Linked DNA regions of Oreochromis niloticus. The protein of the gene in region 1 interacts with the protein of each later gene in a pairwise test. Links are inferred from orthologs where the notes say so. Each region holds a gene or a part of one and is shown in the gene's direction. Other genes may lie near its edges. The genes, in order: sf3b4, bag3, ppp1r16b and hnrnpul1.

The links.
Region 2: the proteins of sf3b4 (region 1) and bag3 interact in binary tests that used the Homo sapiens proteins (3 or more experiments, as listed by UniProt). The two-hybrid records come from large-scale screens. The link is inferred for Oreochromis niloticus from reciprocal best matches to the Homo sapiens genes SF3B4 and BAG3.
Region 3: the proteins of sf3b4 (region 1) and ppp1r16b interact in binary tests that used the Homo sapiens proteins (3 or more experiments, as listed by UniProt). The two-hybrid records come from large-scale screens. The link is inferred for Oreochromis niloticus from reciprocal best matches to the Homo sapiens genes SF3B4 and PPP1R16B.
Region 4: the proteins of sf3b4 (region 1) and hnrnpul1 interact in binary tests that used the Homo sapiens proteins (3 or more experiments, as listed by UniProt). The link is inferred for Oreochromis niloticus from reciprocal best matches to the Homo sapiens genes SF3B4 and HNRNPUL1.

Annotation. Positions count from the first base shown.
Region 1 is NC_031985.2:19,772,824-19,779,872, reverse strand, and holds the start of sf3b4 (splicing factor 3B subunit 4), read left to right. Parts: upstream 1-4,045; 5' UTR 4,046-4,098; coding exon 4,099-4,132; intron 4,133-4,977; coding exon 4,978-5,106; intron 5,107-5,191; coding exon 5,192-5,734; intron 5,735-7,049. UniProt on the Homo sapiens protein: Component of the 17S U2 SnRNP complex of the spliceosome, a large ribonucleoprotein complex that removes introns from transcribed pre-mRNAs.
Region 2 is NC_031978.2:25,360,707-25,368,011, forward strand, and holds the start of bag3 (BAG family molecular chaperone regulator 3), read left to right. Parts: upstream 1-4,286; 5' UTR 4,287-4,459; coding exon 4,460-4,657; intron 4,658-6,430; coding exon 6,431-6,769; intron 6,770-6,890; coding exon 6,891-7,235; intron 7,236-7,305. Other genes in the region: tial1 (nucleolysin TIAR), read right to left, coding at 1,478-1,565, 1,695-1,749, 1,897-1,995, 2,103-2,199, 2,585-2,613. UniProt on the Homo sapiens protein: Co-chaperone and adapter protein that connects different classes of molecular chaperones including heat shock proteins 70 (HSP70s), e.g. HSPA1A/HSP70 or HSPA8/HSC70, and small heat shock proteins (sHSPs), e.g. HSPB8.
Region 3 is NC_031970.2:6,549,152-6,556,509, reverse strand, and holds the start of ppp1r16b (protein phosphatase 1 regulatory inhibitor subunit 16B), read left to right. Parts: upstream 1-4,351; 5' UTR 4,352-4,511; intron 4,512-7,358. UniProt on the Homo sapiens protein: Regulator of protein phosphatase 1 (PP1) that acts as a positive regulator of pulmonary endothelial cell (EC) barrier function. Involved in the regulation of the PI3K/AKT signaling pathway, angiogenesis and endothelial cell proliferation.
Region 4 is NC_031979.2:33,502,642-33,510,259, forward strand, and holds the start of hnrnpul1 (heterogeneous nuclear ribonucleoprotein U-like protein 1), read left to right. Parts: upstream 1-4,605; 5' UTR 4,606-4,763; intron 4,764-5,245; 5' UTR 5,246-5,287; coding exon 5,288-5,525; intron 5,526-5,744; coding exon 5,745-6,047; intron 6,048-6,372; coding exon 6,373-6,583; intron 6,584-6,682; coding exon 6,683-6,756; intron 6,757-7,066; coding exon 7,067-7,206; intron 7,207-7,618. Other genes in the region: opa3 (optic atrophy 3 protein homolog), read left to right, coding at 853-994, 3,402-3,730.

The DNA of each region.
Region 1 (7,049 bases):
GCTAATGAGGTGTAGCTCGTGTGTTTCTTCTCGGCTTCGGTTTGTTTTGGTTGGTTGTAGTATTCGGGATGGGAAGATGCCAAAATTGATGACGCAAGAAGCCTGTGTTTGTTCATGAATAAAGCACAGGAACAGAGGTCACCCACTCAGCAAGATATGAATGAAGGGGATAAAAGATCCCAGCTAATATCACCGGTTTTCTGTAATGGATGTGCAACCTGCTCCTACAGGTTTATTATGGGAAGCAGCCTCAAATAATACTAGACTTCCAGTAAGCACAGAAATACACTTATTGACTCATGTAATAATAATTTGTGGGTAATTTGCAAAAGAAGAAACATGTCAGCAGGTAATTGATGCTCTGACAGCAGCTCAGGTTTAAAAAAAAGATCAAATATTAAACCACCACTATGCCGTTTTACTTCAGCTTTTGTTGCAAAGGCGTTTTTTTAAAGCTTCGGCGCTTGCTTGGCGACGATGACACTAGCCGAATGTATCATTTTAATGCGCTATCAGCAAAAAGGACCTGCAAAGCAACACGACTTAAAAAAATTACAAATCTGCTCTTGTGATGCAGATTGTGTTGGTCAGCTAGTAGAGTTCAAACAAAGTGAGTGTTTGTTATGACTTAAATGTAGGTCAGGGTCTCAGCAGTTAAAAAATGGAGGCCAGAGAATGAGTTGGGCTTTTTTTTTTCTTTTTTTTTTGAAAGCTGAACCATCAGTTTTGAGTCATTGTAGTCAGAACAGTGCCAGCTTCTGTGGTCTAAGGTTTTTTTTGAGATACTGGAAGGAGAAATTGGGTTTTGGCAGCGTTGTAATGTCTGCATGCCAAAAAAATGTAATATAACAGGCATTTATTACCCTTTTTTACCGTAAATGTCATAACTTTATATTTGTTCGTCTTTATAAAATGCATTTTTATACGTTGTAGGGATAAAGGCGTTTTAACAAGCAGCATTAAAAAGACCCCACGCAAGTTTTAATTGATGTGATACGGCTCTTTTGGATGTAATGAAAGTCAGACAGCAGGAGGGCTCGTTCTTGCTGCTGAATGCTGGATTGTGAGCAGCAGAACTCGATTACACGAAATATAAAGAAAGAACAAATAAAGAAAAAGTGCAGGAAGTTTCTATAACTCATCTCTGGAGTCTTTGTGCCTTTATGAAAATGGTAGCTAGCAATGTTTGAACAGTCATCTTTACACATGTAGTTAATTTCTTACTGTTACAAAGAATAGTTGGGGGAAATTTACTCTGAGAATTTGATTGACGTTACACGCAGGGCGGTCTGGTTAATATGAAGCTTAATAAAGCCGCCTCACCATAGATTAGCATAAAGACTGAAAAGGGATGTAAACAAGTTCCCACACTCAGCCCCAAAGGTAACAAAATCTGACCAATGTTACGTCATTGGTCTGAATCACAGACTGTATATAAAAGATGGACATAGCTTCTCTGTCTAATACAGAAGCTTGTGAGCTACCAAGGTATAGCAAACGTTGAATGCCTCTTTGCAGAAATGGATAAAAGGTGTGGAATCAACGTGTTCATGTCGAAATGTTAGACAGCTCATGACAAGGAATTGATCTACCTTCACAGAGCTTTCTGATTGGCAGAGCTAGCTAAATTTCAACCTAACTTGAAATTTCAAATTACGGATGGCGATTTTTAAAATTGTTTTTCCAGCAAACAAGCTTCCGTAGTCTGAAAAGTGAAGCCAGTGCAAAAGTGCCTTCAACCTGCATTCTTTATAATTGTCAACTCCTCTGGAAGGACTGACCTCAGTCAATACTTTCCTTATGTCATTGTGGTCCCTTTTAAAAGTCCCTTTTAACACACAGCATGATGTCTGTTGGTATATTATGAGCTGGTGTTGACTATGATAAAATACGGTGTGTGCTAGACTGGGACTGTTGTGGAGGGCCGGATCAATAAGCTGAACTACTTTCTGCTCAGTATTCATTTTTCACTCTTCATAAGCTTATTGATCCGGCCCTCCACAACAGTCCCAGTTTCTCACCACTTGTTTGTTATGTCTGGTATCAAAAAAGTCCAGAATGCCAAATGCAAGGCTTCCAAACCAGTGGGCGATGACATGGTGGCTACGTCCATCTTTTAATTACAGTCTGAAGTGGCGTCTGTGCTGGGTAATACTTCCAGTACCTGCAGAGTGTTTTTATCAAATCATTTCCTCAATATGTTACATGCCGTTAGATTGTGAAGGATGTATTTAATGTTATTACCTTTGGTATAAATTTATAAACATTATATACTGGTTTTGTTTTTGTTTTCTTTCTTTGTGCCCACTTTGCAGCATATGTGTGTGGCGCAAATATAAAAATGCTGACTTTGCAGTTCTCTTTAATGAATAATGCAAATTTAAAATTGACTGAAAAAGTCAACTTTATATGTCCTGGTTAGTATTTTCTCTTTTTCAAATGTGTAAATTTCAAATCAGTAAATTTTAAACTTGGTACTAAACAGATTCCCAGGATTTCATATGCAGAAACACTTTCAGTGATTTTATCCTTCTTTGACTCAATTAAGATTAATGAGGAAATGTGATTAATGAGGAAATCTCAAGCAGTGTTTTAATGAACAGCTTAACGGGAAGGAGGCTGAGGCAGTTTGTTTCAATTTAGATGCTCAACATCTGGGTTGGTTTTTTGGTTTGTTTGTTTTTATAGCCACAAGCCATTAATCTCAAGGCTCCTTCTGTAAAAAATGCCTTTGATCTTTCTTTGTTATCAATATTATTGAAGGTTTTTTGAACCGTATGTTTGTTTTTTGCTATTTGTTTCCTAAAAAACAGTTTTGGCTCTGCATGTTTTTGTTTTGTTTTTTCATTTTTTTTGCTTTGATGCATGATGTGTTGATTAAGTTCTGGTTTTATATGTTTCATATTCTATACAGTATTGTTTTATAAGAGTGTTTCTCGAGGTCCTTACTGTTTGTATTTTCTATGAAGATTTTGTATTCCATGTTTATACTTTTAGTAGATTTATATGTATATGTAATAAATTTGCTGTTACAAATGGCACTGTGTCGAGCCACTTGTTTTCAGTGACTGAAAATCAAGGCCACACACACACACACACACACACACACTGGTAATAATTTAATATTCCAAATTAATAAAAAGACATATTCCAGATTTTTAGAGTATAAAAACACTAATTTCATTCACTTTAATTTTTTTTAAATTATGCAGTAACTTGCAAATGCCACCAGAAGGCATAACAGATATATCCCACCCACAGTCTAAATTAGGCATCGTAGCACTGTTTCTGATCAAAACCAAACACAATTAACATTACAGAGCAATACTGGTGAATTTATTTTTCCTCTTTCAGAGCCCACAAAAGTTATCAAAGTAAAAACAACTGTAATAGACCAATTGCCTCTATTACCTCAGATGATCAAAGGACTTGAAACTCTTGTCTAGGTTGCTTGGTTCTCAGGGGGGTTGTTTTAAATCAAGAGAACCATCGAGTTCAATCTCCTAAATCTGGGTGACATATAAATGAAATGATGCAGACTTAGAGCCAAGAGGATCGCAGGGGATCCAGACAGTTGTCCATACTAGCATCAAGGAAATGCTACCTTACTGTGTGCTGGCTGCACACAGTACTACAACCCCACTGACTACCTACCCACAAATCAGCTACTCAGTACCTGGACTATGTTTGAGAAACAAATTAATTATGTTTGTTATTATTAAATAAAAATAAAATAAAATAAAATAAAATAATAGTAAGTTGATTGGATTTTTTCTCTAGTTATGTCTTATTGAAACGTGAGACTAGTTGTTTCAGTAATAAGGAAATCCACTGCATTTATAATATTGTCAATTTTTACACTTTTGTTTGGTAAATTGTGTCCGGAAGCAATTAAAACAAAAATAAAACAAATTCAATTCAAGCTGGAATGAACTCGTTTTTCACATTATGTTCTTTAAAATCCGACATTTAATATCATACCAGAAAAAATTAAATTAAATTAAATTAAATTGAATTTTTATTTTATACTTCCGCTACACAGCATCGGAAGAGGCGGGGTTTCATTGTGCATCGCTCCCCCTGCGTTGGTCATTCAACATGGCAGCGGGACCAATTTCAGAAAGAAACCAAGGTAAACTCATCATTAAACTCTGTTTTGTTTATTTGCACTCCTCATTCATAAAAGTGCTGGTACATTTCACCGGAACCGGCTCAGATTTACTTACTGACTGCCTCGTTTAGACAGCAGTTTGTGATAAACAACCGGCGGATCACATGGAAACATTGAGTTGTCGCTAGCTTAGCATGTCGCTGATTTTGCTTTTCATTCAGATTTTTTCATCCTTTTACTTGTCACTTATATATAAGCCAGAGTTCAGCGTTGGTTTGGGGTTGTTTTGAAGTGTGATTGTTGCGAGCAAATTAGCAGCAGACTTAACGTCTAGTTGACCAACAACTACAAGTAGCCGAGGAAGCTAACAACATAGCTTGTAGCTTCACTCGGCGGTCAAGTTAAACATATTAAACTTCTTTGTTTCTTATCGTGCTGATTTTAGACGGGGACTGTTTCTTGATGTGGGTATATAGGATTTTAGATACCGGTATTTTAGATGTAAACACTAAACGTTTGAGTTTGCATAATAAATATTGTACACGTATATTAAATATGAGGAGAGTGTGAGAGGCAATAAAGGAACTTTAAGAAAAAGCAAGTATCTAATTTTAAAATCTTTTATCCGGTAGTTTCACAACGCATAGTTATCTGTACACATCTTCCAGCTGAATTATATTAGCAGGGCTTCCAAAGGACACAAAGGACTGGATCTCACTGATTAAGTAATTTATTTCCAAATATTATATATTTTTTCTATTCTTGAAGTATCTCTATTGACTTTTACATGTGTCCACAAAAAAGAGATTGATGACCTGTGATGATGCACTGATCATTATGAGGTTTATTCTCTCTTCATGTTTCAGATGCCACTGTATATGTTGGTGGTTTGGATGAGAAAGTGTCTGAGCCGTTACTATGGGAGCTTTTCCTGCAGGCTGGTCCTGTGGTCAACACACACATGCCCAAAGACAGAGTCACAGGCCAACATCAAGGTAAATAATCAGATCACCTTTTTGGCACGTGTTTTGAAGGATCACCAAAAACAAGCTCAGCTAACTGTTTTTGCTATTTTCTCAGGCTATGGCTTTGTGGAGTTCCTCAGTGAAGAGGATGCTGACTATGCCATCAAAATCATGAATATGATAAAGCTCTATGGCAAACCGATCAGGGTTAATAAAGCTTCTGCACACAACAAAAACCTGGATGTCGGTGCTAACATCTTCATCGGTAACCTGGACCCAGAGATTGATGAGAAACTGCTCTACGACACGTTCAGTGCCTTTGGTGTGATCCTCCAGACGCCAAAGATCATGAGAGATCCAGACACCGGCAACTCGAAGGGTTATGCTTTCATCAATTTTGCCAGCTTCGATGCATCCGATGCTGCCATTGAGGCCATGAACGGCCAGTACCTCTGCAACAGGCCCATCACAGTGTCGTACGCCTTCAAGAAAGATTCCAAAGGAGAGCGTCACGGCTCGGCCGCAGAGCGACTCCTGGCCGCTCAGAATCCACTCTCCCAGGCAGACAGGCCTCACCAGCTGTTTGCAGATGCTCCTCCACCGCCAACGGCTCCAACGCCGGTCCTGACCACACTGGGAGCTGCGATGGCCATTCCAGGTAAGAGCAAATGGAAGTTGTTTTATTGTTTTACTGCGGTGTGTTACACAACATTTCAGGCACCGTTCATCAGGTAATGTGGAAAAATCTTGTTTCCATTAATAAGAATTTAATAGGTGGTGATTTTAAGTGATTAGCTTACAAGATGAATTTGGGTGTCTGGTACAACTTGACCTACTTCCAGGAGCAGGAACAAGAAGTAATCAACCTGAAGTGGTCTAAGAATAAAATTTGTTCCTCATGAGTTTTAATCTCTTTTCACATTACACTGTAAAATCTAATTAGTTCCCAGAACTCAAAAAAATTATGGAAACTCGTTGCCTCAAAAAAATTGAGTAAAGCTTAGCTAAAAATGACTAAGTTAGGATAACTTATTTATTTTGAGTATTCTGTACAAGCTCATTTGTTCCCAGAACTCAAAAAGATTGGATCAAGTTTACATCAGATGACCAAGTTAGGGCAACTTACTCATTTTGAGTACACTGTACAGCCTTTTTTTAGTTCCCAGAACTCAAAAAAATTATGGAAACTCGTTGCCTCAAAAAAAATAAGTAAAGCTTACTTAAGATGACTGTTAGGACAACTTAGACATTGCAAGTCTGCAGTATTAACAATAACTTGATATTTCTGACTGTACAATAGTAATTGTTTACCTAACAAACATTTCAAGTTCAACTAAATGAAAAAACAATTTGTGGTAACCTGAATATGATTAAAAATAATTAACAACACTTTTTGTAATGATGTTAAAATCAGCCCAACTTTTATTTTCAAACACAACAAAGTATAACAGCCAAAAATGGACACTGTTCTGCTGAACAACAAACAATTATATTGCCATCGCTGTTATAATCTTACAATGAAACAAAGTCTCAGATGTAATTATTCTGAAAATAAGTTTAGGCCTACCACAAGTTTGTTTTGTACTTACATTACTTATATAATCAAAATAAAATATTTGTTGTTCTGTCACAAGTGCAGTCTCTAATTTAAACAACACATTTGTTTTCCATTCCAACACATGAGCTGGAATGTTGTATTATTTTAAGGATGCTTGTTTCTAGTCCAGGCATTACTGCCTGAATGACTGTCATGGATCAAGGTGATCCAAATGTAGGTGCAGAAGAAAGTCTTTAACTTCCCTTAAGTACAGTGGCAGTGGTTGATGGTTGGAGATGCAATGAGCTTGAACTTGCAGGCGACCATCTTCACTGACCACACCATCTGTGACGGAGGACTCATCTCTCCTGGTGTCCTGCAAGCAAACAATCATATTTTAACTTAATTGCTTTCTTAAAACATGTTTTTTTCTGCT
Region 2 (7,305 bases), on another chromosome or scaffold:
ATGAGAACAACTTCAGCACACTTTGAAGTTTAAATCTTCTACACTAAAACAAAAAAGGAACCACGCAAAACACAATGAACTGTGAATCCTCTACTCTGTCCGACATTAAGCTACATTAGCTATCATGACCTTGTACGGAGTACTGACTCGTAATATAACTTCAAAGCAACACTTGAAAAACAAGTACAAATACATGCAGCCTACAGTACTGTCTTTAAATCATTTCTGACGTATTAATGGATCTTTACCACTAGAGCACCACTGTTTGCTCAGTCCTCACAACAGTAGGCTACAGATTTAAAAATCACAAAGCAAATGGCTATGGATTACCATGCATTCTTATAAGCTGCTGTTCGTACTCTTACTACAGACAGAAATAAATAGAAAATATCAAAAAGAGAAAAAAGGAATTAAACGGCATACATGGCCTGTTAACAGATTTCTTTATTTTTCCTGGTCAATTCTTTACCACCAATATGGAGTATGGAGTTTGGGGAGCTGCAAATTTTGAGAAATTGACATTTTCAGAATTTTTGGAAGAGGATCATGGCACTACAAACAACACTATGCAAATCAAAAATAAGACAAAAAACACAGATTTAGAGGAAGACATTTTGTATTGGAATTTGTTAATCTAAGCTAGGTCATGTTAATACATGGCATCTACAAATAAAGACATATGGAAAGAATGGAATAAATAGAGAAAAAAACTACATCTGAGTCTCCAGAGTGCACAGTTCCTTGCTGTTAGCCTTCAAGCTCCTGTCCAATCCTATGAGCATTTCTGTAAAATAACCAAAGTGCTATTACTTCACTGAGACTCAAAACTAAAAGCTGTTCAGGTACATATACACAGCTTACATTTTGCTCACATGCTGTACAGTTTACTTACCACACCCTACATATGCATAAAAAAAACTGACAGTTCAGTCATAAAAATAAAGACATAATAGACCGACCACATTGTCAATGCAAATGTGTCGCCACTCTATATCTAAAAACAACAACAACATAATTTTAAAGGTATTAGTTACTCCATGTTTAAGTATGTTTACATGCATCGATGTGGGGCCTTTTCTACTCAATGTAAGCAATACTCTTTGTGACAATAAAGGGCTATTCTATTCTACTCTATTCCATTCCAGTGTTAATCCTTTCCTGTTACACATTCATTATGTTGTCTGGTTCGTTTTTCTCTCCAAAAGGTGTGCACAGAGCGCCAATTTCCAGTCCTTGACAATCAAACATAATTGTCTTTCAACCAAAAAGATTACATCAGTAATGCAGGCCTCATTGTGTAATGCAACTTTCTGTTTCACCTTTACAACCTATAAAACCTGTTTCTCAACCGACTGGGAGGAAGAAAAAAAAAAAAATCAGTGGTTGGACTGAAACATATTGTATTACACATAAGACAAGTAGAAAAAAAATACACACACACAAACACTCTCACACTCACACACACGTAAAAACTTACGATATTTTCCCAAATGGTGCAAACGCAACCCTGACATCCTCAGTAGTAATCTCTGGATTCAAATCACCCACAAAAACATGGAAGTGATCTAGTACAAAAGAAAACACGAACATAGTAAACAAACTATTTGCTAATCCCCAGTAGACTCTGATTCCAGCAGAGTGTACGTGTGTTTGTGTGCGTGGTGGTGTAGGGGAATCAATAGGCGATCGCTTACTGGATGTGTCTTTCTTCTGGCTACTTGGAGTGGTGGCCCAATTTACTTTAACCTCCTGAAAACAGAATTCACAGAGAGCACTTAAAACTGTGAAGAAGACTCAGGAAAACAATGTTGTATGATATTCAAGGATGAGAGGCATTAATACAACAAATAAACTTAATAACTTTGCATATAATTTTTTAGAGCAGCTATGTCCTACCTTTCCTAATATCTTCCTCCCATTCATGGCTGCAAGGGCTGCAGCAGCATCTCTGTGTTCAAAGAACTCCACAAAGCAATAGGGATCATTGCTCGTGTGCTGTAAGGATAAGATCAGACACAACAGATTAACAGTGTGGCTCAACTAAAACTACAACTAGGTGAAAATGTAGAAAACAAGATAACCCAGCAACCTTAGCTGCTTACCTCTGTGATCATTTTACAGCTTTTGCATGGTCCTATCTGGGTGAAGAGCTGCAGGATCAGAATTTCTGTTACATCCCTGGAGAGGTTTCCCACATACCTAGAGGAGGAAAAATAAAAAGAAGTCCACTTACTCCAGGAAACGAGCTATTTACTTTGAAAAAGTGAAGCACGGGTACTTCGTTTCTGGTATTACAGTATCATTGGTGATTATGAGTTTTTGAAGTGAAGTTCCTTACAGTAGTCTGTTTTTAACGATGTTAGTAACATCTAACAGACAGTTGTTAACACTTATATATAACTCACATATACTTATTAATTAACTCTTATGTCAATTAACCTGAAAATAGTGGAGCATAAACGCTAAATGTTTATGTCGTCCAGTTGTTTGTGGAAACAACAGCTAGCTAATTTAGCCACCGAACACCGACGATAGCGAAACTAATGACACGCAACGTTACTGCCGGACACGAAAAACTACTTACAGGGTTCTGGGGTGGGTTTCGTCGTCCATAGTCGATGCTGACAGTAACCAGGGAAGAAAACGCCACTTACTAGCTAGTTATAGCTGGTATTAACTGGCAATTAGAAACCACAACTAGCTAACTAGCTTAGAAGCTAGCTAACCGGGCGCCAGAGCATACGTCACACTGTGAGAGTCCAGAGTACGTACGTGCGTGTGCAGGAAGAGACCCGTCACATAAGGTTGAAGTAATAAAAGGCTTTTTGCGTTCTTAATAGTAAAAAATTGAAAATTTCTTAAAGACCGTTACTTCTGAATGACACCATTTTTAAAAAATTAACTGTAAAAAGCCGAAAGAGCAAACCTAATGTGTACTTATTTTATTAATTTTGGAAAAGGAAGCTGCATACGAAACTCTTATTTTGAAATGCAATGCAAAGGTACGCTTGTTTTCAATGCCGAGATTTGACGGCTCAAGGCAGTGGCGCGAACCACCAGGACCTTTCTCGAATCTGAGCTCAGATGTCACTGTGAAGAAATTTCCCGTTTGACTTGTACATTCACGCTTTATTAACAAACTCTTTTAAATGCTTAGTCACAACAAGGCAGTGGTTGTGGGGTGGGGGATGGAAGGAAATTATATGTCAAAGTATATGTAAAAAAAGTTGAATAACAAGATTGTTGAGTTTATTGCCTGAACTGTTGTGATAACCCTGGGTGTACAGAACCAAAGAATTGTACTTTTTTTTATACTACCCAAAGACATTTTTTTTTCTTTCCCCCCTCATTTTTATTTTTTCCTTGTGGTTTAAACTTGGCGCATAGTGGGCGCTTTTATTTTGAAGGACTTTTATTAAAGGACAAATGCGTAAAAAATGATCCCCTGTCATTCTTAAGTCTACTAGTAATTTTCCATAAAAAATACTAAAGACTTTAGTTACTCTCACTCTTTAATGTTACTGGCTCTAATTTGTGTTGCGCAACCGCGATATTTTTACAGCCATAAGAAGCCGCTTGAGGTGGATTAAGAAAAGCGTGGCGATGGGTAATTAACGGTGATATAATTGACAAGCTTGCAAAAATTAAAGTTGGCTTCCCCTCCTCGCAGGCAGATATCCAATTAAAACGAATTGCTCCCATAAACTACTTAATACATATTTTATTACTGTCAATCACGTGTGTATTTTCTGGTATGCCAAAATGCAAATATTAGATGTCGTTGCCTGCAATGTCCAAAATATCAAACACCTTTAAAAATCCATGTGTTGAACGTTTGTGACACTGTTAAGTCCACGAGATCAAAGGTTTGCTGCACTGGTGTTTTCCTTGTAGTACAGGGCAGAATTGGAGTAGTCCTTTGATTAAGAAAGATCAGTCATTAGACGTGTCACTGTGCCCACACTTATCACACCACCAGTTACATAATTGTGCACCAAATCAATGCAAACCCAGACTGAGTTCCCTTGGACAGCATTTATTATGTGGGAGTCTGAGTACATCTATTTGGAGAACATCTTTTTAAGCAAACACTTTGGGATTCCCTTGTCTTGGAAAATGGTTCAGGGGCAGGGGTCACTGAGGAAGGTCCACAGTGCCCACTGTACACGTAAGGGTGATTACTTCTCTGCCCAGACAGGACACAGCAAAGAGGGGGAAAAGGATGCATGGTGGGGTGGGCAAAAAAAAAAAAAAAAAAAAAAAAAAAAAAAAATATCGAGGGTTTACTCTGTGTCTATGTGAGGGGGGGGTCTGCCTGCGACATAACAAATCTGGGAACCCATGCCACTGTATCCAGCGCTGTCCGCCCCCAACATTAACCCTGCTATTTCGAGAAACTTCCAGCCCACTTTTCCACGTCACTTGAAGGAATCTTTAAAGCGTCCGTCGCCCGTATAAAATGTCTCAGTACTCGACAGCCAGCAATATGAACGGCATGAAGACACAGTCACCGATACTGACCATGGCGAGTAATGACAACGACCCTCTCCCCCTCGGTTGGGAAGTAAAAATTGACCCTCAGACTGGATGGCCCTTCTTCGTGGACCACAACAACCGTACCACAACCTGGAATGACCCGAGACACGACACGAAAAAGGTAAAAGAGCGGCGGGATAAAGTTGGTCAGTTAACGGTAACGGCTAACGGCAGTTTCACCGCTATTTTTTTTTCTGTCGACGTGCGTCGGTTGTGGTGCATGTTTTGGTTTGTTGCGTTGTTAAAGCGGCAGAAGCCTTTGCGCTACATCACTGTTATATATTAGTCTTGTTGACCGTAGGCCCTGTTTGGCACCGTTGCCTCCCCCTCACGGACAGCTCATAAGCCCATTATAACGGGTGATCAACTCTGATATGTTCCCGAGTCATGATCTAACACTATTATTACTCGATGACTCACTCTGCAGCATGCAAAAGGCTACCCATGATGAGCTCCCCGGCATTTTAATGTGTTTCTTTCACGGTGCAAAACAGTGCTGCGACGTCCTGCTCATATTAAACTTTTTCCCTTACAAGGATCGAGGCTGGTCCACTTCGCTTCGGTTGTGTACGGCTGTAGCCGGGCGCTGGCTGCCCCCCGCGTATCGCATTCAGCTGTATTAAAAACCGTGTTGTGAAAGCGCACAGGTCTGCAGAGAAAACCCGTGGGCTGAAGTGAGCTTCACAGCCTGCCAGCTGGTAATCTTTCGTCTCAGAGAGAGAGACGCTGTTGTCCAAAGTTAGTGTCCAGAGGAATCTGCTAGAAAGACACAGCTGTTGGGGGATAAAATTGGTGCAATGGTGCTGGCAGCGTGCAGTGTCCCATAGTGGCAGAGGGCAAAGGGTCGTTCACGGCTATTTCATTACTTTAGTCCTACTGGAAGAATGCCACTGATTTACAGATAAATGCAGTGTTTGCTTTGTAGGTGTTTACTTCGGGTGTGTTTCGGGCAGCTGGTACAACTTTTGTCACTTTTCAGTTATGCCATTAACTGAGTGCTGAACTGGCAGACCTGTTGCTTGTACCCATCCATAGCTGTCATGTGCAGGTGTGTAGTCTAGAGTAATACTAATAGAAAACAAGCGCCTTTCTGCAGTAGAAAATGGAAATTTAAAGCATTGATTTACTAGTCATACGGTAGAACCCAGCCCCTTCTTTTAATTATATTTTACTCTTGTATGTATACAAATGTATCCTGGGATTGTCTATGATTGGATGAATAAATGTTGCTCGAGAAAGAATTTACTGTGCTATGTGGAAAGAACTCATATATTTGCTTTTTTTTTTTTTTCAATCAAAGCAAACCACATTTCCTCTTTCTGTAAAAATCCTAATGTTTGGCTGATATTATTAGATCCAAGGATGTGCTAACTGTTGTTGTTGGATAAGTCAGGACATTCATCCAGGTTATGTTACTCTGATTGTGAAACAATCAACAATAATATTCATCACGGAAACAGCAAGCTGTCTGACGGGAAACGCACCAGAGCCTGTGGGTTCACATATCAAAGATTCAATACTTTTGGCATCCCTCTGCGAAATTGTGACATTTTAACCTATAACCTCTGCAGTTACCTCAGGATGGAAAACACTTTGCTTTTTAAAATTCCTTAATACTTTGAAGAAAAACATTTAGTGGCACATCGTAAAATGTCCTGTTGTACGTGGACTTAAATGCAACTCTTTAAGTGGAGGAGCTTATAGCTGAATATTTAACATATGTAAAAGTAATTTTTCTTCTGTTACACACCCATGAGCAAGAATAGGTTGGCTAAAAATATATTAAAGCACATTTTGTAATCAACCGATGCCTAAAATTTGCAATAAACTACAACAGCAACTGTAATTAATCTGAGTATAAGGTTACATAGATTGCTATGTTGCTATGTTTCAGGTTCGAGAAGTGTCAGCAAATGGACCCAACATACAGCCAGAACTAAGTCCTCAGGAGACACAGAAGACCTTTGTGAGGGAGATGAAGCACCCCATTCTTCGCCCAGGTTATGTTCCCATCCCAGTCTATCATGAGGGTGCAGAACTGAGGCAGCAGCAGCAGCACCCGTGTTATTCCTACATCCAGCCGAGCACTGCACAGAACATCCGGACAGATGGGCGGACACCTTCCCCAACGCCGGGGCTCCACTGCAGGCCTAGATCGCCTTTACATGGCCCGTCAGACAGCTCCTCCGCTGAGCCTGGAAAGACGAGCTCGCCTGTCTCACAGACACCAGAGGTGGGAATTGAGTTTAAATGTGCCACCAGATGGAGTATAATGTTTACAGTAGGCAGAAATGTTCCAATTTTCAAACAACTACTGAATTTTGACTGTTTTAATTTGTTCATTTATTTTTAAGGCTTATACTGTTACGCATCACCAACCTTCACGGCCCAGCAGCACCGGTCTCCAGTCTGGTTATATCCCTATACCAGTGATTCATGAGGGTGGAGGGGGACAAACACAGGTTCAATTAAATCCCTCAGTTTACTCTCAGCGCATCCCTTACCCAGAACATCAGCAGCCCTTCCATCGTCTTCAGACAGATGAATGGCCCGGCTACTCTGCTGCAATGCAGCCCCCCCGGGAACAGGCTTCGCCAACTCTGTTTCCTCAGCACCGCGATACTGCCTCCATTCATCTCCCTCCTCACATCAGAAGCCAGTCACCTGTTATATCACAAGTGATGGGAGAAAGGCCACAGGTAATTTTACTTTTTCTGTGTGGCGTGTTGTTGTTTTTTGTTTTTTTCAGATATATATATAAAGCTTTGA
Region 3 (7,358 bases), on another chromosome or scaffold:
GTCTGAGCTCTCAAGGCATCTGACCAGTTGCTCCTACATATACAAAAACCACAGAACGTTCTCCGTGGTTGTCCCTAAGTTGTGGAATAAATTTCGTTTAAATGTTAGACATCTGTCTAAAATGCCCATTTTTAAAACTCATCTTAAAATGCATTTATACTCTTAGGCTTTTGATCCAGAATCAGGCACTGATCTTACTTGTTTTTTTATATTGTAGTCCTTTCTATCAGTGTTGTCTTTATTTATTTTTATCATTTTCAATGTATTTATTCCCTTTCTTTGTACAGAAAAAAGGGTATTCCTGTGGCTGTTTTAAAGTGCTTTATAATTAAAGTTGTATGGTATGATACTCGCTGTAGTGACTCCTGTGAATAAGGGAGCAAAGCCACCAAAAGTAGCTTTAATGTAGTTATTTCAGGTTTACAGGCTGCAAAAGTAGTGCAAATGAGTGAACCAAAGAATATAGATAATGTAAATGGAGTGATTTAATGTCATGGAAAAGTAAATAGCCTATAAAATATATTTGCACCCAAGACCATTCTGAAATCTCTGAGGGTTTTCTCTAATCATATTTGAAAAAGCAGATGTGCAGACATCACACAGAGAAGAAATTGCAGCCATAGTGCAAAAAGATGGTGCACAGTTCTTAATGTGGGACAGCTCAGGCTGAAATCTGGGACACTCATTAGAAGCCTTTTCTAAAGGCCTAAATCAATGCATGAAATCGTGTGGTAAAAAACATCTCTGGTCTCATTAAAAAAATTAAAAGAAAAAACAAAAATCTGTTAGGCCTATGTGTGAGACGTTTGAACCAACAGGCAACCAGAGGGTGTGTCAAACAGCAGAGTGTTACATTGTTTTATGTCACATCAAATCATGAAATAATTTACAGTATGATGGACTGGCATTTGTAAAGCACTCCTATTAACCGCATCAACAAATCACATTTAACCTTTGTATTATTCACATTCATAAACACATTAATACAACACTTTATTCTTCATCTAGGTCAAAGCTACTAGCACTTTAGAATCACCGGATAAGCTAATGTGTCCAACTTTGAGCTCTGCGGGGACCATCGTGCCACCTACTATTGTGAACAGGAAGCAATATAGTTCAATTTAGTTCAGTTGGTCTGTCTGTCTGTCAGCCACCCACCAAATAAATATTCAGTATATGAAGATGAATACTATTGATTATCTGTATGTAGATATGTGTTTTGTGTCCATTTATGTGATTAAACACGTCTCCAATCTGAGAATGGCCCTTAAAGAAAGAAGTAAAAAAATAAAAGCATATTTTACATGAATTATCATAGCAGCTTGGCTTGTGAAAGATTTAGTTCCTCTGAATCCACCTTTCAACACACTTGTGTTGTGATTAAATTGTTGCCTGTCAGCATTTACATAAACGGAACTCACAACAGTCTACAGTTTCCAGCTGTTACTAACACATCCATGACGTCACGCCTGCAACTTCCTGTATGAAGACTGTCCCATTTTTATAGAACCACAAGTGTAAAGTCGAATAGTTTCATGACTAATCTTGACACCCAACAACACAGACTGTTACAAGACTCTAATTCAGTGATCTCACTTGAAAACTGTAGTCAACTGTTTTAGTGTGCGGTGGGTTTATTGAGTCTAATAATAATAATAATAATAATAATAACAATAACAACAATAATAATAATGATGATGATGATGCTTCACATGACAAGATCAGAAACAAACAATAAATGAAATGTTTAAGAGATCAAAGTGAAACAATAAATAAGGTATAGAAATCCTGGCATAACAAAAAGATAAAAGGGAGAAATGAAGATAATTAAAAATGAAAAACAGGTAATTAAAGAAAATATAAATCGTCAATAGGAGAGGACGATCAAACAAATCTGAAACATGACATAATTCAACATAGTGTCAGGACTCGGGCTCCCCAGTGGATTCTCTGTTTCTGTGTGTGTGTGTCTCTCTCTCTGTGCTGTGTGTTCAAGATTGTGTTCTTGAGTCTCCACCCAACTCACCTGTGGCTGGTTCCCCACATGTGGAAGATGAGCAATTAGGGGCTCCTACTTAAGGCGTGGGTAGACGGCCAGTCATCACTGGAACATTGATCTGGATTGTGTGGAATGGCTGCTGGCTTGGTTTGGAAGTTGGACCCTTCCCCTTCCTAGATGTCCCCCTCACCAGTCTGTGTATTTTCACTATACTGATCTACCTGTAAATAAAAACTTCAGTCTGCCTTTGTGAGCTCTGCCTTTGAGTCCACTCCCCTAGTGCCTGACATGACACGTGGAGCTTTTTTAGTGGAGGCTGAAAAAGGCTGTCCATAAAACACATTTCTTTAAGAAACAGATGATAATGAGCTCACCAGTCTATCCTCAGGGGGTCAGTGCCCTGGCAGAAAAAGCCTGATCACCCTTGGTTATTAAGGTAAGACTGTGGGACAGCCAGCAGAGCTTTAGCTCAGGACCTCAGGTTATGAACAGGGTGGCAGATGACCTGAGATATACTTTGGTGTGAGTCAAGCGGTACACTCTGTTAGTACTGGGTTGGTCCCCCTTTTACATCCAAAGCTGCCTTCATTCTTTGTGGCATAGATTCAACAAGCTCCTGGAAACATTCCTCGGAGACTTTGCTCCATATTGATATGACAGGTTTGTCAGCTCCTTATCCAAATTTCCCTCTACACCTCATCCCAAAGGTTCTGCTAGACTGAGATCTGACAACTGTGCAGGCCATTGGAGTACAGGTTTCAGTTTCCTGTTCTTAGCTGACAGGAGTGACCACTAGTGTGGTCTTCTGCTGCTGTAGCCCATCTACTTCAAGGTCTGATGATCTTCTGCATCAAACCTTGTGTGTAGCTAGGATTATTTGTTTTACGGTTCCCTTCCTTAAACTAGTCTAGCCATTCTCCTCTGACCTCTCACATCAGCGAGCCATTTTCACTCAGAGAACCACTTACTGGATATTTTGACTGCTTCGGACCATTCTCTGTAAACCATAGAGATGATTCTGTGGGAAAATCCCACTAGATGAGCAGTTTCTGAAATACTCAGACCAGCCTATCTGGCATCAACAATCACGCCAAGCTCAGTCATTTAAATCACCTTCCCCATTCTGATGCTAAGTTTGAATTTCAGCAGGTCATCTTGACCATGTCTACATGCCTAGATGCATTGAGTTCCTGAAATTTTATTGGCTGGTTAGATATTTGCCTTAATGTGCAGTTGAACAGCTGTACCTAATAAAGTGGCTGCTGAATACATGTACTATACATACAGTTGCCTGGAAAAGAGTGATATATATAGTCTCTTTTTCTCTTTTTTTGATGTATATATTTTCCCAATGATCATTCTGCTTTTCTCACTTTCAGGAGTTTTAAAAAAATCCTTCACATTTCAATTTTGCATCTGAACACTTTTATTCTACAAATTTACAAATACTTAAGGTCATGGACATTACAAACATATATATATCAGTAATTCATTAATTATAAGTTACTAATATCATGTATAGCAGCGGTCCCCAACCTCCGAGTCGTTTGGTACCAGGCTGTGAGAGTTGAGGCTCGGGTGTGAAATTTATGGTTTTCAGGGTTTTTATCAGTTTTTAGTGTTATTTTTTAATCATTTTTATCATTAACTTGATTTCCCTGTGTCTTTTCCCGTGCCTTATGAATAAATCTTCTTTTTTTGGTACCGGTACTGGTCTTATTTTGTTATATTTATCCGTGACACCTTAAAGGCCTGTCCGTAAAATATTGTTAGACATAAAACGGTCCGTGGCACAAAAAAGGTCGGGGACCGCTGATGTATAGGATCCTAAAGTTTACTTTCACGTGTATACATTTACTTTATGTACTTTAAATATATTTGAATATACAACCTGTGAACTATTAAGCTATTTAAATAGGATTATATCCTTTAAAGAAGTAAACAAATCTATTATTTATAAAACTGTTCATCACAAGGTTATGTTTAAATTCTTTTACAACTCCACTTTTCACATAATAAATCTGCTATAAGACGCTGGGCTGTGGAAGATCTTGAGAATTTGTGGTTTGTACACCAGTTATCTACACTTATCAAATATTGACTGCCCTTGCATAGTTGCACGCATGTGAAAACCCTTTAACTGTTCCTGCAGTGACATTTGGACCAAAGCGATGGAGAAAACCTGTAATGTATGTGAAAGGGTGCCTCTGCGGGCCACCACTCCGTGCACCACTGCCATCCACCGTGGCTCCATCCGTGCTTCAGTCTCCGCCTCCTTCTTAGCGCCGCCCTCAAGGAGTGACTTGGTGTTGAAGCACAGAGAGAGAGAGAGAGAGAGAGAGAGAGGGGGACTCTGCAGACTCTCACACACACACACACAAACAGAGACACACACACTGAGCTCCTCACACCAGCTGCTGTGTCTTTACTAACGGGACAACTTTAAACCTCCTGGATACCATAGTGGACCCTCTGCTTTCCCCTCTGCCCAGTGTGAACACCCCGAACTGAGGTGAGTGCAAACATCCACACATGTTGCCAGCTCTATTGTAATTTCGGGTGTGTTTGCCGTGGACCGCTTGAAACTAAACCAGAAGATGGAAGAAGGGAATTTTTTCCCCCGTGGAGGAAAAGGGGGCAGTAGACAGGCAGGAGGAGAGGCATGTCCGGCTTCTGTTGGAGCACTCCGAGCTAGCGCACTTTACCGCCTTTAGTGGGTCACCAGACGCTTTTGTGAGCTGTAATTAAACCGGTGAAAAGCGTCGTTTCCGCTGCTGGCGCCAGTAAACACAACAACACTGGTTGAGCGGCTTTAACATCTCCTCATGGATGTTGGTGTAACAGCGCTGCGGTGACACACATGGCTCTCCCCCCCTCCTTTAGTCCGGGAGTGCTGGCTGGCTGCTGCTGGGACACCGGGACTGTTTGCAGCGGGCGAAGCTGCAGATGTTTATTTTTGCATTTACTTTGTGAGTTTGTGACTCCCACAATCCAGGCTGAACGGACTGATGTTCAGGCTTTACGTGCCGACGAGCAGAGTCTTCGTCTTAACTTTTATATAGGAAATTTACGTATGTGCACTCATACAGTTTCGGCTTTATTGTGACTGTAGCATGCTCACTTATTCCTCCCCTTTATGTGATTTGAAGTGATTAATCTTATATGTAACCCATATATGTATGAGCGTAATAAAAATGTATTTAAAAAATGACCCTAAATGTTATATTATTATTATTATTATGACACCAGTAGTGTCCTAATGTGCTGCTTGCAGAGATGTGCACCAAACATCATCAGCAGTGTTCATCTCACTTTGTGCCAGGTGTACAAATTGCTAAGACAGGTGGGCTTCTTGCCTGGCTGTGTTACCTTTAAATCTTTGATGTGTGGAGACATCCTGAACGCTTTCCGCCTGCTGTTCCTCTCAGCATCTGCACCGGCTGTTGGCTCATGTTGGGGAGTGACGGTTCACTCTGCTATACTGCGTGCATGTCTGCTGTACATGCATGCGACAGCACAAGAGCGACGAAGCGTGTCTGTACACGCGAAACATCAACACCCAAATCTTGGACTCCTGCAGGTGTGCATCGCAAACAGGAGTCCGGATTGTGCTGCTGCTAAATGTACTGTGCAAGTTAGTGCTTAACTAGATAACCACTGACTACCAGAGGTCAACTGTACCAGCTGAGCTCACTCTGCGATGGGATGCAGATAGAAATATAATAAACTTCAGGGTGCAACCCTTGTGTGACAGGTAGCAGGAAGGCCCCAGGAGGGATCAGAAATAAAGAGCAGTTAGACGGCATTCCTCTGCACAGTTTCGTTGCTGGATCCGAAAGAATATCTGGATCTGGATTAGCTTGCAATATTTTCTTGAAGAATAAAGTTTGTATTTGTGAATATATGAGGCGACTCCAAAAGTTAATCACTTCTAAATTGGGGGCAAGCCGTGCCTTTAATGCAAATTTGGCCATACTGTTTTGAGTAATAATGACGACAATCAATCGAACAGATAAACTCAACCACCAGCTGTTGTTATTTCAGGTAACAGCGACTGTCATCCCATCAGCTGCTGATTAAAAGGTCACACATTAACAAGGTCAAAGGTTAAACTGGTTGAACTTTAAGCGAAGTGCTAAGATGTAAAGTCTATACTGGCGAAACATGTAACATGTGGCTGTGAACTGATTTTAGTGTAAAAGTTAAATTTAAGCTGCGAAAAACAAGCAACTGACAAATATTAGGGATAAAATAAACTGAAAAATGTATAAATCCATTTACAGTGAAACCCCCAGAAAATATTGTGGCCTTGTAAATGTACTGTAACTGCAAACTGCCTTTACGTTGGATTAGATCGAAATTGAAAACTGTGCTGATAATGAATTTCTCTCTCTGAAGTTATGCGCGGTAACTGATGCCACATTTGAGCGTAATATTGCGATGTCTTCTTGCCATTATTGTTTAGCTCACACACAAACCCACACAGGCACATTAACGTGGCACTCGTCCACATTACCAACAGCAGTTATACAGAGTAATGGCAAAATTATATTCCTGTGAGTGTCTGAGTGAGTCGTCTCTGATCTCTAAGGAGCCCCATTGCTATGCTTCACTACTCCCTCCTCACTGAAGAGCTGCCTCCATATATTCTCTGCAGCTTTGTGCCCTAACTGATGTTTAATTATTCCAACACGGTGATTTGACTGTTGCTCATAAAATATTGAAACAGAATCAGCCCTGGAGGCACGCTGAAACACTGGCCTCGCTTGATACTTAAACAGGACCTGCAGTGGAACGGGGCATCAAAGCGGGTCAGCAGAAGCGTGAAATAAAACGTGTGTTTCTTTGTATGAATTGGAAATCTGTTTCTCAGCCGCTAAACAGGTCTTATCTTTCTTACTATGGATAAGCGATTTAGTAGATCAGCGCTCTGATTACAGCTAGGAGCAGGCACTGACTGCTAATCTGTGGTCTTAATACGAAGACAGGCAAATCACAGGGCAGCTATCGAGCCTGCTTAGAGGCCCTAAAAGTCCACAGCCTTCTCCTGAGGTGTAGATTTGTTCATTTTTGTTGCTATCTTCAGGTTGACTTGAAAGTGGGCTTGAGTGTGAAGCTTTTATTTTGTGGTCAGGTCTAAATCACCAGGGAAGGAATGCTGGTCAGATAAATTTGGTTTAAGTGCACTTTCAGACCTCTAATTTATTTGTTCTGCTCTAAATGTGTAGGTGATTTTGTAAACTTGGAACTTTTCACTTTGCTACGATTTCTTTTAAGGCAGGGAAAATCAAACAAGCCGAAATATACCAATGCAAACACTATGCTCACTGGTCAGAAGAGCAGAGTAAGATGTGAAGTC
Region 4 (7,618 bases), on another chromosome or scaffold:
AGACATTTAGTCATAGCTGCGTACTGAGTTGAGTTATTTTGGCTGATAGTCCAGCCCCTCGGCTTTCTTCACTGCTGTAACCCGAGCCAGGTGTTTCTACCACAGCTGTTCCAGGTGAAGTATATAATCTGTGAGGGAGGAGTTGCGTATTATTTAGTATCTCGCAGACAGGTAACTGTTGATTTTTTTTTTATTCACACCCTCACTTTTAAATAGAAATACATATATTTTTTCAGTTTATGAACTGTGTGAAATATATATATGCATATATATGCTACCATATATAGCCTACGTTACATGTATAATAATAGACTATTGTTTTACAAACACAATTATGTATTTTTAAAAAGACATAACTGTGTTTTAATTCGTTGGGCCTACATACATTAGCATATAACTTCCGATACACCAGTCTCTCTCATTTAAAAAAAAAATAAAACCATAAAATAGTATCTTACTGTAGTTTATAATGGTTGTGCAGTGTGGAAATGATCTAACATGCAGCAATGCAATATGATGCCACGTAAAAAGTAGTTTGTCATTTTATTAATTTAATTAATTACCTATTTAATTCATTTTTAAAGAGAAAATTAATGTCAAACATCAATGCTGTTATTTAAATTGGGAAAGACGGGACGTTTATCATTAAGTGAGTTCTAACTAATAGCAAAACAAGATAACAAATACAAACAAATACGTCGATAAATAAATAACCAAATAAGTAAGGAAATCAGGGCGTTTCACTTCACGAGACTTGGACACGTGGACGGATTTGTGACTGGGCTTGTCAATCATAAACGTCATCACGTAACCTCTACGCACTCCGCCCCATTGAGAAGCGTTTCCGCCAAGATGGTTGTCGGTGCCTTCCCTATCGCCAAGCTCCTTTACCTCGGAGTGAGGCAAATGAGCAAGCCTGTGGCTAACCGGATAAAAGCTGGAGCCCGGAGGAGCGAGTTCTTTAAAACTTACATTTGCCTGCCGCCGGCACAGCGTGAGTAATTTGAGCTAACGGCTGCTAATGGCTTAGAGTTCAGTCCAGTCACCTCTGACGGTTGATAAGCATGGAGAGCCGCAACAACCAATGACAATGAACCTGAAATGACTGTTATCCAATCATCTTTAAGAATTTATATCTTCGACCAATAGTAGCCAGGCAAGCTCTAAAAGGGCGGGTCTTGTCTGTCATTGAACAGGTTGTGTTAGCCTTTGCAATGAGGGCACGGCAGGACAACTGTAGTCCTAACACCCTATTCAGAATGTGACGCTGACTTTAATTAGACAGAAATATGCTAAGTGGACACTGAGCTCTATTGTTTAGGCATATCTGACTTGTTTGTGTTAGTCATTTAGAATACTTCGCAGGCGGCAAGTAAAGCTTACTGTGTATATCATGTTGTGTTTGTAATTGTGTTCTCCATCATTCATTTTCAGATAATAAAAAAGGCTACAAATAAAAAAGAAGCTACAGTTTTTCGTTAAAGATTAAAAAATTTTTTCGTTAAAATTTTAAGTAAATTAATGGATCAAATCGAGCTTTTATGAAAAGGTGCTGGAGGAAAAAATGGCATGGTATTATTTGTTGACCGAGTAGATAAAATGCAATAAAAGGTTTGATTACTATTAAAAGGTAGTCTTATCTTCATATATGATGGCTGAGTGAAGCAGAAAGGATTTTACTCCAAACTGTGAAAGTGTAGTCATACTTAGAGCTGTCAGGAGGTGAAGGGGGGAAAGACATTAGAGCAATAAGGTGAAAGTACACCAGCTTTTGAGGAGTCTGAGCAGGGGCAAAATGACAACACACAAAATTTGTTATGGACAAGAAATATTATGTAAGCTAAGGCTCTGAGGGATTTGGCCTCTCAGTTGCCATACAGGACACCCGTGAGTGTGAAGGGATTCATCTTTACATGGCAACCTTCTTGCATTCTGTTTAAGAGACTTCTCACTTTCCATGGGGCTTTATTCTTTTCCCACTTATCACTGACATCAAGAAAATGTTTCTCTTTGATGGACTGCTGAATCTTGAACTATTAACCAGTAAATTTGGATCCCAAGTTAGGTGGTGACCACAGATATGCTGAAGAATGTTTCAGTTTTAATGCTACATTCAAAAATGAGCATCTCCCTCTTGTTTGTGCCCTGAAAAAAAAGAAAAAAGAAACCTGGTTGCCTAATTTCTGTGTAATGTATTAAGAGCACCACTGATTTAGTGGTTTTGGACAGTGCTTTCCTGTTTTCATGTTTTATGCTAAAAACAATTTCAACCCAATTTCAGTAAGGTATTAATGCTACGTTCCCTTCAGAGATGACCACCACCTTCTGGTTTTTGAGCACTGAGATTGTTTTCTGTTTGATTTAATCAGAGGATCACCTGTTTGGTGGTTGTGTGCAGCGTTGTCCTCTTTTCATTCTAAAAAATTTTTAACCCTATTTCAACCAGGCTCCTCAAAAACTGAAATGTGTTCCTCTGAGCTTTCAACTTTCGGCTCTGATGTCTGGCATTCCCCCAGCTCATCTCCTCACGGCAATAAGACTGACTCCCCTTCTGCAGTTCTCAATAAAATCCAGTCTGCCTCATCCTACTCTTTGCTTCCTGAAGTGTGGTAGCAGAATGAGAGGTAGTAAGTCTTCTGTCCACTAGAAAGGACACTGAATAAAAAAGTAATTGCTGGGTCCTAGGAGGCTATGTCACAATTGAAGACAAATATAACCTACATAAAATGATAAACTCTTCAACTTCTTTGTTGTCTTTATTTATTGCACAAAAGTTCAGTTGCAGCTAGAACAGTAAGTGAAGATGTAAATATAATTCCTCATACAAACCTTTTTAGCAGCCACAGTCTCTGGTATGCATGTTATTTAATTGCTTATAAGAGTTGCACAACAATGAAGGAGAATTTTGGACAACTCCCAGCAAAACCTGTTTTAGTTCAGGATTTATGTGATGCTTTAGTTGAACGGCCCTTTTTAGCCACAGCATCTCACTAGGGTTAAGGTCGTGGATCTCCTTTAGGTTATTGTCTTGTACATAGCATTACACAACCTCTCCCGTGCTTCAGGGTATGGACTGCTGGGCTGAAATTCTCCTCTAAAACATCTTGAAATACATTTTACTTTATTATTATTTCAGTGATTGCAATTGTCCATCACCTGAAGTTACAAAGCCTCCTGAAAACATAGTGCTGCCTAGACCGTGAATCTCAGCTGGGTAGAAGATTATAATAAATTATAGTGCAATGATGACATGCATCTTAAACCATAAATGCAGTTTCTCCTGTATTCACAACTTTTGACCAGATTATCTGATCCTTTTAATGAAAAAGTGAACAGGACCCAAACATATTCAAAGTCTAACAACTCTTTCCTTATATACTGTATGCTCCTTGTTCCAACAGTTTATCACTGGATTGAGATGAGAACAAAGATGCGGATCATGGGCTTCAGGGGAGCCACCATTAAGCCGCTGAACGAGGAATCGGCAGCAGAGCTGGGCGCCGAGTTACTGGGGGAGGCAATCATCTTCCTCATTGGTGGTGGATGCATGGTGTTAGAGTACAGCAGGCAGGCGGCTAACTCTCGCCGTAAAGAGGAGGAGCTGAACGAGACCCTCATAAGCCTACAGACGCAACTGGCAGAATTATCCCTAACGACAGAGACTCTAAGTGCGCAGCTGAGAGAGGTCAACAGGCAACTGCTGTCATTTCCTGTTCCCACCAAAAAGTAACAAATTTAGTTGTTTGCTATACAGCAAGGCATAATGTCGGGTTGTGGGGTGAAGGAGTGAGTGCACGTGTATATGTACAGCCTCATAGCTTTGAGCTGGGTGGAAGAGGTTGATATAAGTATATCACTGCAATGTGGATTTGGGTACTGTCATTTGCTCATGTTCTGAGCAACTAGTTGTAAAAAAAAAAGGGAATTGCTATGATATTCATAGTGAATTTCACTGGCTGACCTTGCATGTTCATTGTAAAGTTGACTGAGTGTATATAAAAACTAAAGTGGTGACCTTAAAGTTGATATATACATATATATTTTTAACAGCTTCAGCATATTCCTTTCTTTGTAATTCAGTGATCCTCGTAGACCTTAATCACTTTGGAAATGCTGAATTATATGATTTTTTTTTTTTAAATACTAATTATGAGTTACTATTAATGGAAAAAAAATATAAACACCAAAAAACAAAACCAGCTCATATCAGTGGATTAGTTTTTGAGAGAATCTGCCCCTGTACTGTCCATAAAATTCCATGTTGTAATTGCTGGTTTGTAATTGGATGTATGGTGACAATTGGAAAAAAAAAAAATTGAAATAAAACGATATGCTGGCTGTTGATAGCGTTTTTGTCATGTTTAATACGAAACAAGCGAATAAAAACTGAAAGCACCTCCAGAGTGGATGATGTCCCGCGTTTCTTCACATTACTGTAAAACTACAGTACCCAAGATGACGTCAATGTAACACTTCCTACTTTGGAACGCTCCAAGTGCTTAACGCGTAACATACAAAACATCGTTCTCTTTGATTTCATCTAAGATTATATGGTACAAATTAGTTAATGGTAAACTCGCGCTATTTGGTAGCTCAAAGAAGTGCATCCCAGTGTTTTACATTTGCAGCAGAATAATAAATTCAACCAACCGGCTCTGCTTAACTTCCGGTTCTGAGTTTGGTCAGGTTTGTGGCGCCAGGGGGCGGTAGCAACTCTTTCAGTCTTCTAACACGACTTGCCCGCGCAACTTGGGTGAAAGGAGGTAGGCCTCAACCTTGTTTCGTAAATATATTCTGTTTCAGTTCTAAACTATAAGCGGAGTGCACAGTGCATTATCTCCTGGACTTGCATGCAGACAAAGTATGGGTTGCAGCTTGCTTATTGTCTGAGTTAAAGTTTCTTCCCTTGCAGCGGCTGTCGGTACGTTAGCTAATGCTAGGCTAAGAACGTTAGCTGCTCAGCGAGATCTTCAGACGAGTAATAGCATTAGCATCTATTTTAGGGATAGTTTTGTCTTGCAAATGGTTATATTGGTAACGGCTGCAATAAAACACGAGTTTAATGGTTCACAGACGTGTAGTGGAACACTCTTTAGTCTTACAGAATCTGTCCAGCGTTGCTAGCTTAGCTAAACGGCTAACGCAGCCAGGCTGTGGACACGGTGCCGCGCAGCAGATAACATTTGAAAGTTATAAGGCAGTGTTTTTAGAAGTACCTGACCATTCCCCCCCCCATTTTTTGTAGCAAATAAAGACAACAGCCACCGAGTAGACATCTAAAATCACAATGAGTGTTGACGTGAAGAAACTGAAAGTCAATGAGTTAAAAGAAGAGCTCCAGCGCCGTGGCCTGGACACCAGAGGCCTGAAGGCAGACCTCGTAGAGAGGCTGAAAGCCGCTCTGGAGGCTGAAGCTAAGGCTGATGCTGGTGAGCAAGAGGATAAAGGGGATCAGCAGCAGGAAGAGGAATACGGTGATGACTACCAAGACAATGAAGATGAAACGGATCCACAAGAGCAGCAGGGTAAAGTACTATTTCATTAAACATTTCACTTCCATGAAACTAGTTTTATTACGTTGTTTTGGACTTTGATCCAATTTCTGCCCTTTGCTGGCATTACATTTTAAGCACTTCACTGTGCTTGAGTATAAATTAAAGTTTCAAAGTTGGGAAATGTCAACAAACTCTTTACTTTACAACCTAGAGAACACCTAAACTAAGTTTAAAATTTTACCTTTCCAGATTCAGAAGCAGCTGAGGACTATGGTGGTGGTGATGAAGCTGAAGGTGATGAAGCTGAAGGTGATGCCCCTCAAGATGAAGATGAGGGCCGAGATTCAGGTGGTTACTATGAAGAAGAGGAGGCAGAAGGTAACCCGTATGAAAGTCAGACTCCTTCAGACTCAGGCCACAATGTGCCTGACTTCACAGCAGATGAGGATATTCAGAAAACTGACATGATGTCTGAGGAAGAGACCAAGCCTGCAACAAAGGAAGTGGAGGAGGAGGAGAATGAAGAGGAGGAGAATGAAAAGAATAGACAAGGTAATTTTTCATTACTTTTATTACACAGTTGATTTTTATAGTCTTGTATTCATCTCTGATGGCACTGGTTGAGAATAGAAACGCTTTTCAGAGATTCAAACGTTTTACTGTTACTTACTGCCGACATGCAGAGGTGGCACAATGACCCAGTGATCTGCTTAAACTAAATGATGCTAAAGGTAGTGTAAAATTTTCCTTGTGGACTTTGGCAATACAGTAAAGACATGTAAACCAAACACTCAAACTGCTCTCATACCTAGTAGAAAAATTTCATGAACTTGTTTTCATGCTAAAAGGTGTTATGTGTGTTCATGTCTAATTATAGAAGTTAAAGTAGAGGTCAAAATGGAAGATGAATCTGAGGGTGCAGGTGAAAGGCAACAAGATAATCAGCACGAACAGCCGCATGGGGAAGATACCGCGGGCCAGCCAGAGCAAGTCAAAACTGAAGCTGAGAGAGGTGGACACTATGGACGTAAGAGGCCATATGAGGAGAACAGGGGCTACAGCTATTATGAGCACCGTGAGGAGAAGAGGTGAACTTCTACATGGTTTTCTAAGTTAACACAACTGTCTACACTCGGAATGGATAACACAAAGTGTACTACAATAAATACTCTGGTGTTATTATACAGATCCCGAACACCACAGCCTCCTGCTGAAGATGAAGAGGAGAACATAGACGACACTCTTGTTACAATTGATACATGTAAGTATGGTACATTTAAATAGTGTGTGAAAAAACTAGTATCAGTGTGCTGTCTATGGTTGTTTATAAATACCAGAGACTATGGGAAGTTGGACTGTTGTAGCAGACAAAGAGTCAGTTATTGACTACATGCTTTTGTTGATGGATTACCTGTAACATTTTGATATATGTATGCTCTGCTCTAATCTACAATGATCATGAGCGCACACTATAGCTGCAGAAAAGCGGACTAGATGTAGACTACCATCTTATGGCTGATATAGATGTGTTTGATGTTTTATCTAAATGTGCTTAACTCTTTGGTTTTCAGACAATTGTGATTTGCACTTCAAAGTTTCCCGAGATCGCTACAGTGGTTATCCACTGACCATTGAAGGCTTTGCTTACCTTTGGGCTGGGGCACGAGCAACTCATGGAGTCACCCAGGGACGCGTGTGCTATGAGATGAAGGTAGATGGATGCGTTTCTCCAAAGGCTTAGTAGTTTTAAAACTAGACATTTGTGCTGATGAGGTCAGACCTATTTTATGAAATGCTACCAATTTGGTGTTGTGTAATGATTACTGATACATGAAAACTTTGTGTTAATTATTGATATAGTGGATGGGGAAACTTTACTATTAACAAGCATTATCGTCAAATGTAAGAATAGCATTACCCTGTTGGCCTTTAAACCAATGTAGTTGAAAACACCATTTTTATAGAAGCTCTAGTTAACTTTTGTTTTGGTTTTGTTTTTTTTTTTTTTAACTAATGTCAAGTAATCCTTCTGGTTCTCTCACACACACACACACACACACACACACACACACACACACACACACATATATATATATGTATTAGGCAAACAGAAATCTTACTCT